Oryctolagus cuniculus: one gene and its partners. The protein of the gene in region 2 purifies or fractionates together with the protein of the main gene of each other region. This does not show direct contact. Links are inferred from orthologs where the notes say so. Each region holds a gene or a part of one and is shown on either strand. Other genes may lie near its edges.

What was found. Proteins that work in one complex are often made in the same cells at the same time.
Region 1: the proteins of CLTC (region 2) and AP2M1 purify together in Homo sapiens (affinity purification with mass spectrometry; 3 studies listed by BioGRID and IntAct, with this or other methods). This does not show direct contact. The link is inferred for Oryctolagus cuniculus from reciprocal best matches to the Homo sapiens genes CLTC and AP2M1.
Region 3: the proteins of CLTC (region 2) and PTPN23 purify together in Homo sapiens (affinity purification with mass spectrometry; 3 studies listed by BioGRID and IntAct, with this or other methods). This does not show direct contact. The link is inferred for Oryctolagus cuniculus from reciprocal best matches to the Homo sapiens genes CLTC and PTPN23.

What each region holds. Positions count from the first base shown.
Region 1 is NC_091435.1:93,758,148-93,761,449, reverse strand, and holds part of AP2M1 (AP-2 complex subunit mu), read right to left. Parts: intron 2,306-3,302; coding exon 2,040-2,305; intron 1,323-2,039; coding exon 1,240-1,322; intron 692-1,239; coding exon 556-691; intron 456-555; coding exon 314-455; intron 1-313.
Region 2 is NC_091448.1:34,984,464-34,987,963, reverse strand, and holds part of CLTC (clathrin heavy chain 1), read right to left. Parts: coding exon 3,313-3,500; intron 2,100-3,312; coding exon 2,079-2,099; intron 1-2,078. UniProt on the Homo sapiens protein: Clathrin is the major protein of the polyhedral coat of coated pits and vesicles. Two different adapter protein complexes link the clathrin lattice either to the plasma membrane or to the trans-Golgi network.
Region 3 is NC_091441.1:101,439,993-101,443,330, forward strand, and holds the end of PTPN23 (tyrosine-protein phosphatase non-receptor type 23), read right to left. Parts: coding exon 2,149-3,338; intron 2,062-2,148; coding exon 1,877-2,061; intron 1,790-1,876; coding exon 1,685-1,789; intron 1,602-1,684; coding exon 1,463-1,601; intron 1,389-1,462; coding exon 1,275-1,388; intron 1,200-1,274; coding exon 717-1,199; 3' UTR 501-716; downstream 1-500. Other genes in the region: SCAP (sterol regulatory element-binding protein cleavage-activating protein), read left to right, coding at 1-188. UniProt on the Homo sapiens protein: Plays a role in sorting of endocytic ubiquitinated cargos into multivesicular bodies (MVBs) via its interaction with the ESCRT-I complex (endosomal sorting complex required for transport I), and possibly also other ESCRT complexes.

The DNA of each region.
Region 1 (3,302 bases), on a different chromosome or scaffold from region 2:
GAGCTTTGCATGCCCTTCCCCTCAAGATGCTGCTGCTCAGGACTCGGGTGTTTCAGGCACACCAGGCAGAGGCATCAGCAGGTGCAAGCTCGGTCCTGAAGACCCACCAAAGGGCTTGTCCTCTGACGAGAGCAGGGTAGACAAACCCCTCATCTCTCATTGCTCTTAGAACTGGTGTCAAGAGCAACTAGCCAAGCACACCCTTGGGAAGACAGTAGGATTACAACAGAAATGAAGTTGAGAAAGAACTCCCCCAGACCCCACTGAGCCCTCTAAGGCCTGCCCTTTCCCACTGCTCCCCTGAATCAGACACCTCTTGCTTGTTTCATCAGCTGTGCCTTTGCCTTGCTTTTCAATTACAATCTTGTCATTCATCCCAAACTTGCACTCGGGCATGCCACTCAGGTAGCTCTTCATCACCACCCGGCCGGACACATGGGCACTCAGCACCTGCCCTGGTGACCAAACAGATAAATGGGAGCAGCTGAGTCAAACAGGCAGGCTCTGCATCCTGCCCTGGCCCCTCCTCTGGCTGTCCCATAAGAGGGCCCTCACCCTGTGGGGACATCAGTAGGTTCACACTCTCCAGCACATCCAAGAAGAGCTCATTCCGGCGATACTTGATGCCTTCTCGCCGCCAGCCGATCTGCCCAGTCACCTGGCTGGTGATCTGGGACTGTTCTTCTTTTGTCTAAGTGGAGGCAGAGATGCAGCAGAGGTTTCACTCCTCTCTCCTTTTAATCCTCCTGTCTGGGTCCCCACTGCAGCCTCATCCCTCCTCCCTTCTAGTCTCCACCTGCTGCATGGTGCAAGGCCTGCAGAAACAGCGCAAAGCTGCAAGGGTGGACATACAGGACGGCTTACCTGATGCTGTAGGCCGCAGGACCAACAAGGCGCCCACACGAAGCCGCAGGAGAGGCAGAAAAGAAGGAGAAGGCCATGAGGCCTGGATCCTAGAAGCAGGCCCAGCATGCTCCTCTAGACAGCCCACCCCTGCCCCCAGTGCAGGAAGAAACTGCTTGAGATGCATTCCCGGTAACAGAGATGCTGAGTCAGCTGCTCCTGCCTGGGCGGTGGGGAGAGCCACATGGACAAAAGAGGACTACAGTCATGGCAGGAGGCTCAAGCCAGTACTTCCTGTCAAGGGCGGACTCATGAGTCAGCTCGGACAAGGCTGGGGCCAGCTGGCATGAAGGGAAGTTGGGTTCCACCCCAACAGTGGTTGTACAATGTGAGTACCTGACTCTTGATGCCCTGCTGGGTAATGAAGGTTTTCAGAGCGCCTGTCTCAGAGTTCTGTGGGTAGCCAAAGTCCAGGATCTCTGCAAAAGGAAGGGAATCATAAGGCCCTGGACAGAGCTGAAGGTGCCTTCATTCTAGTCCCTCCCCTGGCCTGGACACGTCTGGCCAGCAAAGCTGGCAAAGACCCTGGAGAATCATTCACAGCATCCTCCCTTCAGCTTTGCAGCATTTACCCTGGGTTCTGTGCTTTGTAAGAAAACAGGACAGTGTTTGATTTTTTTCAAGTAAAGAAATCAGCAGAAGTGTCACGTGCCCAGTGGGTCAGAGGTCAAAAGGCTGAGACCTTGTTTTCTTTAGAAAACAGATGATGGGAAAGTGGGAGGGCTCATGTGCAGAGCACACCTTTCAGAAAACAGAGGTAGCAGTGCACCCCAAGGGGCCTGTAACACCTCGCCCTTTCCCAGGCTCCAAAGCAGCTGCCAAGATGGAGAGAGAGCTGGGAGGAGGTGAACGAAGGTGCAAACCACCAAGGAAGGAAGAGAATACGGGAGGTCCAGGCACGGAAGCCAGAGTCACGTTCCAGCTGAAACTTCCCCAGCCCCCACCTGCTGGCCTACTTCTGTGTTCCACTTCAGGGCAGCCTTTAGGCCTGGATTTGAACTGGCCTAATCCCAGCCCGAGAGAGCAGACACTCCAGAAAGTTCAGCATGCACCGCAGCTTCCACCCAGCTCCCGCTACCAGGCTGGGCCCAGTCGGGTTCATCCCCACCCTAGGCCCACAGCCCCACTGGCCTTACCATCCAGCAGCTCGTATATGAGCACAAAATTGTTCTTGATGTTTTCTTCGCTGATCTTGCCAAAGTAGGCAGCCATTACGTCACACATCTTATAGAGGAATTCGAAGACCATGGCAGCGTTGACATTCTGCTTGGTGACAGCTGCCAGCCAGATGTTGGAACGCTTAACATGGAAGAAGCTGGTGCGAGCAATGTTGGTGACGGGGCTGCGCACCTGCTGCCGGGCGTGGATAACATTGACCCGGAAGGCGTCCACTGCATTCCTCCTGAGGGGAAAGGGTGCACAGGACTGCTCAGGCAAACCTCAGGGACCAACCACAGCTGCTGAGAGCCCCACCCTCCTCACAGCTGAAGTCTGTCACACAGTCTATAGCCAATGCCTACACCAGCAGGGAACCAGTGGGGCACAGGAGGTGGCCTGAGCTGGGCCAAAGACCATGAGAAACAGGGAAGTGAAGAGGCAGTGCAGGAAGGCAGACGTAAGCTTAATAAACTAAAGCTCTTCAGATTGGGCAGCCATGTCCCTGACTGCTAGGCCTGCTTCCAATTTCCTACCTATAACCAGCTGCCACCTCTAGCGTCCTGGTAAGTTCCAGGACAAGAGAGAATGAGAGAATGAGAGCCTGCTTCTTCTCTAGTCCTCCCACTAGCAGCCCCTGCAGTGGGCAAAGCTGACGCCTCTAGAAGTTACACAAAGCGTGAGTTTGGAGAAGGCTCTGCCCTTCTGCGGGAGAAGTACCATGGGACCATGGAGCTGTGCCACCCGTTCTTGTCTGGGATCCAACTCCAGGACAAGTTCAAGGAATGAAGGACTACAGGGGTGGGGGTGGGGTGGGCAAGGTCCCCCACCCACCTGTACCTGGGCAGCAGCTTGACAGGCCCCTTACCTATTGCTACGGCAGCCAATGAGATGGGATGAGAGAAATGACGCCAGCAAGAAGAGGAGAGTGACAGCAACGAGAGAGAGGGTTAGACACACGACACACTGGGAGGACGGCACACACCATGAGGTGGCAGCAGACAAGACAGGCAAGGGATAAGAGCACAGCAAGGCATGCAAGGTAGTGTGTGACCTTGCCCCGGCTTGGCCAGGTCCAGCCAGCCAGGTCACACAGGCCAGGTGTTGCCCCCAAGTCTAGCTCATGCCGTGCCACCAGGTAAGGGGCAAACAGCCACAAAGGCCAGGCCAGCCCATCAGCCAGGGAGCCAAGAAGCCGGGCACTGCTACAGGCCCATTTTCCTGACTATTTATCTCAAGCTCTT
Region 2 (3,500 bases):
TACAGACTGAATGATCACACTACAAATCATCCCAGTATCAAATTAAAGACTATCATTAAGTATAAGCACAATGTTAAATACCCACTGTTCGGCATCCAAACTTAAAATAAAAATTGTTACAGCTATCGAATTTAAAGCACACTTCTGTGCCATCAAGGGTCAGATGGGGGTTTTACTAAACCGGTATCCAAGAGTGAACTATAGGAGTTAGGCAGAAAAATTACATGGATGCCTGTACATTAATAACTTCTAAGAAAAATGAAGTAACCAAAAACCACCATAATACATTTCAGGACTTTCAAGGAAAAGAATCTAAAGTGAACTAACACCTGTTTAAAAAATTAATGTCTGACTCAGATGTTGAACACAGAAATCCTATTACAGAAATACATGGAAGACTTAGAAAAGCTAGCAATACCACAATGCCCAGGCATAGATACAGGCAGGTTGGTTGTAAGAGGGGAAAAAACAACAAAAATTCTGAAGGAATAGCATCAAGTTAAGCAAAAAGTTTTTGATTTTTCTATGTAATAGGACAGCCTCTGGCACAGTAACATCCAATTTGTTTCCACTAACCCAATTTAGATTGCTCAAAAAAGGAAAGCAGAGAAGGCTTTTATGAACACAAGCTTTTGTTAAGAGCTGTAACAAAAGTTTCTGATCCTTGCATTAAAAATGAAAAATTACAGGTAAGCAAGTCACCGAATTCAGTTCCATCTGTGCTACTGAAAATTCACTAAAAGGCTTTTCCACAGGGACTGCAATATGCTGCAGAGGAAAAGTTAACATGCAGTCAGTTATTCTGGTGTATGTGTGCATGAAAAAAAGGCAAAAGTACTGAAGCAAGAAGTGAGATCTGAGGATGACTGTTGCTATACAGGCTCTCAAGAAACACACACAGCCCACAGCAATGCTATAGTTTCAAAGTAGTATGATGTAATCGCAATGACTTGTACATGCTTGATTGAGAACAATGCATAACACTGCAGTTCAATTACCTATTTTTTCACACACACGCTTTCTAACTGCCTTGCTTACTAGCTGCTGAAGGGTCTCACACACAATGCATTTTACTCAGGTTTGCCCTAAGTTCCAGTGGTGACTCCAGTTTGGTTCAATATAATCCCAAGGCTTTGTCCCCACTTAAATACTTTTCAATTTGTTTCAACTCTCCTTTACCTTCCCATCCTTTTCTAACCAGAATTTGGAAGTTTATTGTTTTATTTATATAAGATGGAGACAAGCCAATGAAGGCAGCAGCACCCAAAAGGTGCCTCAATTTGACCTCTGACAAGCCAAGTGATTGAAGAGAGCGCAAATTTTAGGTATCTTAAGTTATGTACCTTATTTCAGGAAGAAGTCAATATTGCTTTGTTATCAACAGAAATAATCCATATTGCTTAGCAACAATTACAGCAAACTTGGCTCTCATATAAAAAGGTTTTGAGTCTTCTTAAAAATAGACTAGCACCATAAGAACTGGACACCTGGAGAAACATGAGGAAAGTCTCTTCGGAAGCAGCTAGTATCTCTTCTATCTACTTTCAGCAAAAAATTAGTAAGAATCAAGAGATCAGAAACTGGATCACAGTCCTTCAATATAAAAAAAAAACCCCAAAAAGCCTTTTAGGGCATGTATACACATATATAAATTCAACAACTGTCAGGAAGCTCACAAAATAAAACCAGAGGCTGTTTTAATTTATTTCAAGTTATTAAGAAACTCCTACTACAGTCAGATACCCTGACAAGGAAAAGAAATTTCCTGATAGTTTAGAATTAATATGAAAACTCACCAAGCTCAGTTTTTAATAACGTATTTAAGACAGACTGTGAACCAACTACTGATTAGCCTCCTGCCCTTCCTAAAGCCTATTAGCCGATTAGTAGCAAACATCTACTAATGTCCTACAGCTCTATTATCGTTATGTTTCAAGGGACTTGCAGAGGCTTTAGTGAAAATTTATTGGGGGGGAAAAAGCAGCAGCAGCAGTGTAGAAAAGGAAGGAAAAAAAAATCATGCAAATTCCTTAGACTTAGTCCTCCAGACTTAAAGATGGAAAAGAATCAACTTTCACCTTTTCCTTTATTGCATCAACCTGCAAAGGAATTCAGAAGGTGCAGCTTAGAAAAAAAATCAAATTCCATATTGAGCATAAAAAGGTAGAATCAGCAACAAAGGTTTAGGGAGAAACATCTAACCACTAAAAAAGTATAAGAGAAGTGAAAATAAAGGGCATACTGGAAGCAAAATGGAGAAATTTTTTTTTAACTTCAGAGCTTATTGCAGAAGAATTTATGCTACAGTCAGTGTGAAAGAAAGCAGCTTAATCACTAGTAAAATTTACGGCACTTAGGTTAACAGCAGCTTAGAGCCAGGTCTCAAAAGTTGGTATAATGCATAAGAAAAGAAGCTATTCTCATGTAAGCTAAGATAGGGCAAACTGTTTTTACCTCTTACACTGAACTTTACAAAGAAAATGTTAATTCTTTAAGAACTGTAACCAAATACAACAGTATTTAATTAGGTGATATCTTAAGGAAAACTTCAGTGTCCTGGGGGTTGTGAATAGTGCTTTCTATCCCCCTTTAGTCATGCTGAAGGTATCAGACGTGAGACTCTGATTTTAAGCCTTTTTTTTTTTTTTTTTTGACAAAATGGATCCTTTGTAATCATTTTAAAATGTTCTAAAACCAGAAAGCTAAAAACTGTTAAGGATAAGGTGAATAAAAAAATAACATTTAAAAGGGACACTAAGATTAACAAGTCAATTTTATAAGGTAGATTATACCCCCAGCTTGTTCTAGTTGTTTTAAGAAACGTGGTTAATTATTAACCTCCTATGATATTTTAAAGTCAGGGGTTATATCAAAAATTGTGAAAATCAACCAGATGTTAAGAAGCCATATACAGTTTTCCCAGGGGGAACAGGCACAGACATTAAAGTCAGGAACAAACCAAATAAAGGGAAATTTAAAATATTAGTTATGGCCACCTAAGTTACAATGATTTTGATTTTTCCTATTTTGATACATTTTTATCACATGTTAATAGACAACGAAATACGGAATATGATTATTCATTGCCAGAAATACACTAAGGGTAAATATTCTGACAAGTTATGATTGTACTCTTTCCAACAAATGTCATTTGTTAGCTAATAAAAATTTCTAAAAAACAGGAATATTTTATCATCACCTAAATTACTTACTTCTACTAGAGAAAAAAAAATTTGAAAAAATAGACCTGTAAGTAGATTTTTATATATCCTCAAGACAGTTAGATCTGAATATGCTCAGAGGTATCATTACCTTTGTCAAGTATTCCTTCATGACCTGGATGAAATAGGGCATGGCAAAATCCATGATATTGTGCCTCCATGCGGTTTCCAGGACAACATCTGGCCTTAAAAGATCGTAACAAGTAAAGAGACAAGCTCCAAAGCATTCTCTTTTTTCTTCCTGCAAAAACCACTGTAGAAGTTCTTCGGCCAGCTCAG
Region 3 (3,338 bases), on a different chromosome or scaffold from region 2:
GCCAGGGATGTGTTTCTTTTTGGGACCTAAACTACGGGGACCTGTTACAGACAGTCTACCTGGGGAAGAACAGTGAGGCCCAGCCTGCCCGCCAGATCCTGGTGCTGGACAATGCTGCCATTGTCTGCAACTTTGGCAGTGAGCTCAGCCTAGTCTATGTGCCCTCTGTGCTGGAGAAGCTGGATTGAGCCCTCCGTGCCCAGGCACAGGGGGGAGAAGCCTTGTGGGCCAATGCACTGGACTGAGACTTGGGGGAGGAGTTGGGTGTCCTCTGGCAGCTGCCTCTTGACTGTAATAAACATTTTTTAAAAATAACATCTGTTAGAGGTCTTGTGAACCACTCCTCTCTCCTGGAGGAATTCCTGCACCATTTCCTGAGCCTAGATCCCCTGTAGAGTTGCTCAAAGAGGAAAATGGGGGAGGGGTTTCCACATTTTCAACAGAGTTGAAGCTGGGGCTCCCTCCGCAAGGCAGCAGGGAACAGACTATGAGACACTGGCCACAGAACAGGGTGGTTTATTTCAGTAGCAAAGAACTGAAAAATGTCAGGTCCCACAAAGGAGCAGAACCGACCCACGGCCCGCAGTGCACAAGCTGGGCCAGGGAGGGATGAAGGCAGCAGGAATGGGAACCAGCGGCTGTGCTCCCCGCAGAGGCCTGGCTGGGCATGAGCAGGTGGGCAAGGAAGATGTAGTGTGGACCAGACAGGCAAAGCCTCAGCAGGTCTTGTTGAGTGTCCAGAGTGGATCGAGAAGGCTGAGGGGGTCATCAGAGGGCCGGGCAGCCCGCAGACCCTGCCCATTATGGGCCTGGAGAAAGTTCTGCTTGCTTATCCGCTGTTTTCCCCGCAAGGAGCCGTCCAGGGAGAAGGCCTCTGGGGTTAAGGAGGCCAGCAGCTCCAGGGAGGAGGAGGGGGGCCCCAAGTTGGGGGCTTCAGGCACCGGCTGTTCCTTCTCAGGCTGGGGGGTTTCAGGCAAGGGTGAAGAGAGAGGTGGTGGAGAGGAGGAAGGGATCGGGGGGGGCTCTGGGAGGCTGGCTGGCGGCAGGCCTGGGGGCTCTGCAGGGCCTGGCAAGCTGGCAGCCGAGGAATCCAAGCCCCCAGAAGGCCGGATACTGAGCTTGGCGATGGTGGCCTGGATGGAGCTGATGGGCACATCGCCGCCGAGAACCAGGTCCTGGGAGTCCTGAGGAAGGTGATTCTGCGAAGACGCGGTCAGTGAGGAGAGGGATGCGCAAGCTGTGGCTGCCCGCAGCCTCCGGGGACCCTTACTCACCTTCTGGCTGGTGCTCGTGCTGGCCACAGGTTTACAGGGAGGGGGCACGCCGTGGCGCTGCAGCACCTGCTCCACGTGTCTCACTACTGCCTCGTGGCAGAACCTGAGGTGCAGCTGCAGGGGGGCACTGGGCTTGGTCAGCTGGCGGGGGACTTGGGCCCGAGGCCGCCACCACCCCCCCAGCTCACCTTCTCCTGCAGCATGTGCTTCCTCTGCTGCCGCATGCGCCGCACCAGCTGAGGCAGCTCCGGGATCCCGTTCCCAGCCTCCACCTCCTGCACCGCAGCGTAGAGCAGTGCAAAGGCCCCTGTGCGGCCCACACCAGAGCTGAGGCAAGAAGGGGGGCGGTGTGTGAGGCCAGGCCAGGGGCCCACGGAGGAGGAGCCCATGGGCTACTGCCTGCTCCCTACCTGCAGTGCACAATGATGGGTGTGTGCAGTGGTCGCTGGTGCAGATAATGTGCGTGGACCTCCTGGATGAAGCGTAGCAAGTTGCTGGGGCTGTCAGGCAGGCCTCTGCGGGGTTGGGCATCGTCCGTGAGCCAGGTCTAACCTGAGGCGCTCCCTCTACCCACTCCCAGAGATCTAAGGCAACAGACTCACAATTCAGGCCAAGTCGGGAAGTGGAGATGTACGAGAGAGCGCTTGAGGCTTTGGTCACGGAACTGCAGGCTCAGGACACGCTCCACGTGGGTTTCAGTGGTACGCACGCTGCTCAGTGCCAGGCTCAGGGCGCCGTGCACCATGGGCTGGCCCCTCTCAGTGGGGAAGTAGCGTGCTACCTTTTGCTGAGGAGCAGACAAGACAGGAGCCACAGGTGATCTTCAGGACCACCCCCCACTCCCCCAGGGAGCACCCAGCCAACTCGGACTTACCTTCTCCATCTCTGCTTCAGACACCAGCATGACAATGACTGATACTTTCTGCTCATGCACCATGAGCCAGAAGTCAGCCGCTGTGCCAGGCAGTGGGGCCTGAGTAGCCACTAAGGGTGGGCAGTATGGGGAGAGCCCCTCCACACAGCTGGCATTGATGTAGTCGTCCTTGCCTGAGCGCAGCACCACGCGGTTGCTGTCATAGGGCATGACGTCCTGGTGCCGGTTCTTGAGTGAGTAGCAGCGGGCAATGGCGATGGAGCGGCCTCGGGCATCCTGCTCCTGGGCATCTTGGAGCTCCCGCCAGGTGGCATCCAGAGCAGCCGCGTCCCCCAGTTGACCCCGAAAGGCCTCCAGCTCCTGCTGCAACCGCCGCAGCTTCTCAGGATGCTCGTAGGGGTCCCGCTCGATAAGTCGCAGGGCCTGTGGCCGACGGCCTTCAGCTGCATCCACCTTGGTAGGCTGCAGCAGGGGCTGCCCACCCCCCGGAGGCTGAGGACCACCGTGCTGGCTCTCTGGGCTGGAGGAGAGCAGGTCTGCGGCAGCAGTGCCTCGGCGCAGGCAAGGGGGTGGCTCTGCTGCTGGGGGCCGAGAAGGGCCTGGGCCAGGCCCTGGCGAAGGAGCAGGTGAAGGCACCAGGTGGGGGCTGGGGCTGGGCTGGCCAGCAGGAGGTGGGCCTCGAATCGAGAGAGGGGCGGCCTGGGGGCCCAGTGGCCTGGGGGAAGGAGCAGGAACATAGGCCAGGTTGGGATGGGGAGGTTGAGGGGGCCCAGGGCTGGGGAAAGGCAGAGCCCCTGAGTGGGGTGCCAGAGGCTCTTGAGAGGGGCCTGGGTAGAGCTGGGGGTGCAAGGAGGGTGGTGGTTGCCCCAGGACACCAGACTGGGGGGCAAAAGGGTAGGAGGGTTGTGGAGGCAGGAGTCCTGGGGCCTGGGATGGGAAGAGGGGTGCATGCTGGAGCGGAAGGGGCTGCTGGGCCGGCTGAGGGCCAAATGCCACTCGAGAAGCAGGAGGCTGCGGCCCAATCCTGGGGGCTGGAAATCCTGCGGGGATCCCAGAGGAGAAGGGGTGCTGGGCTGGGGGTAATGTCAGGGGTTGCTGGGCCCCCACAGGGTAAGTATAGGGCGGGGGCATTGGGAAGCAGGGCTGGGGAGGAGGAGCAGGAGTAGGGTTGGGCCGGGGTGCAGCATGGC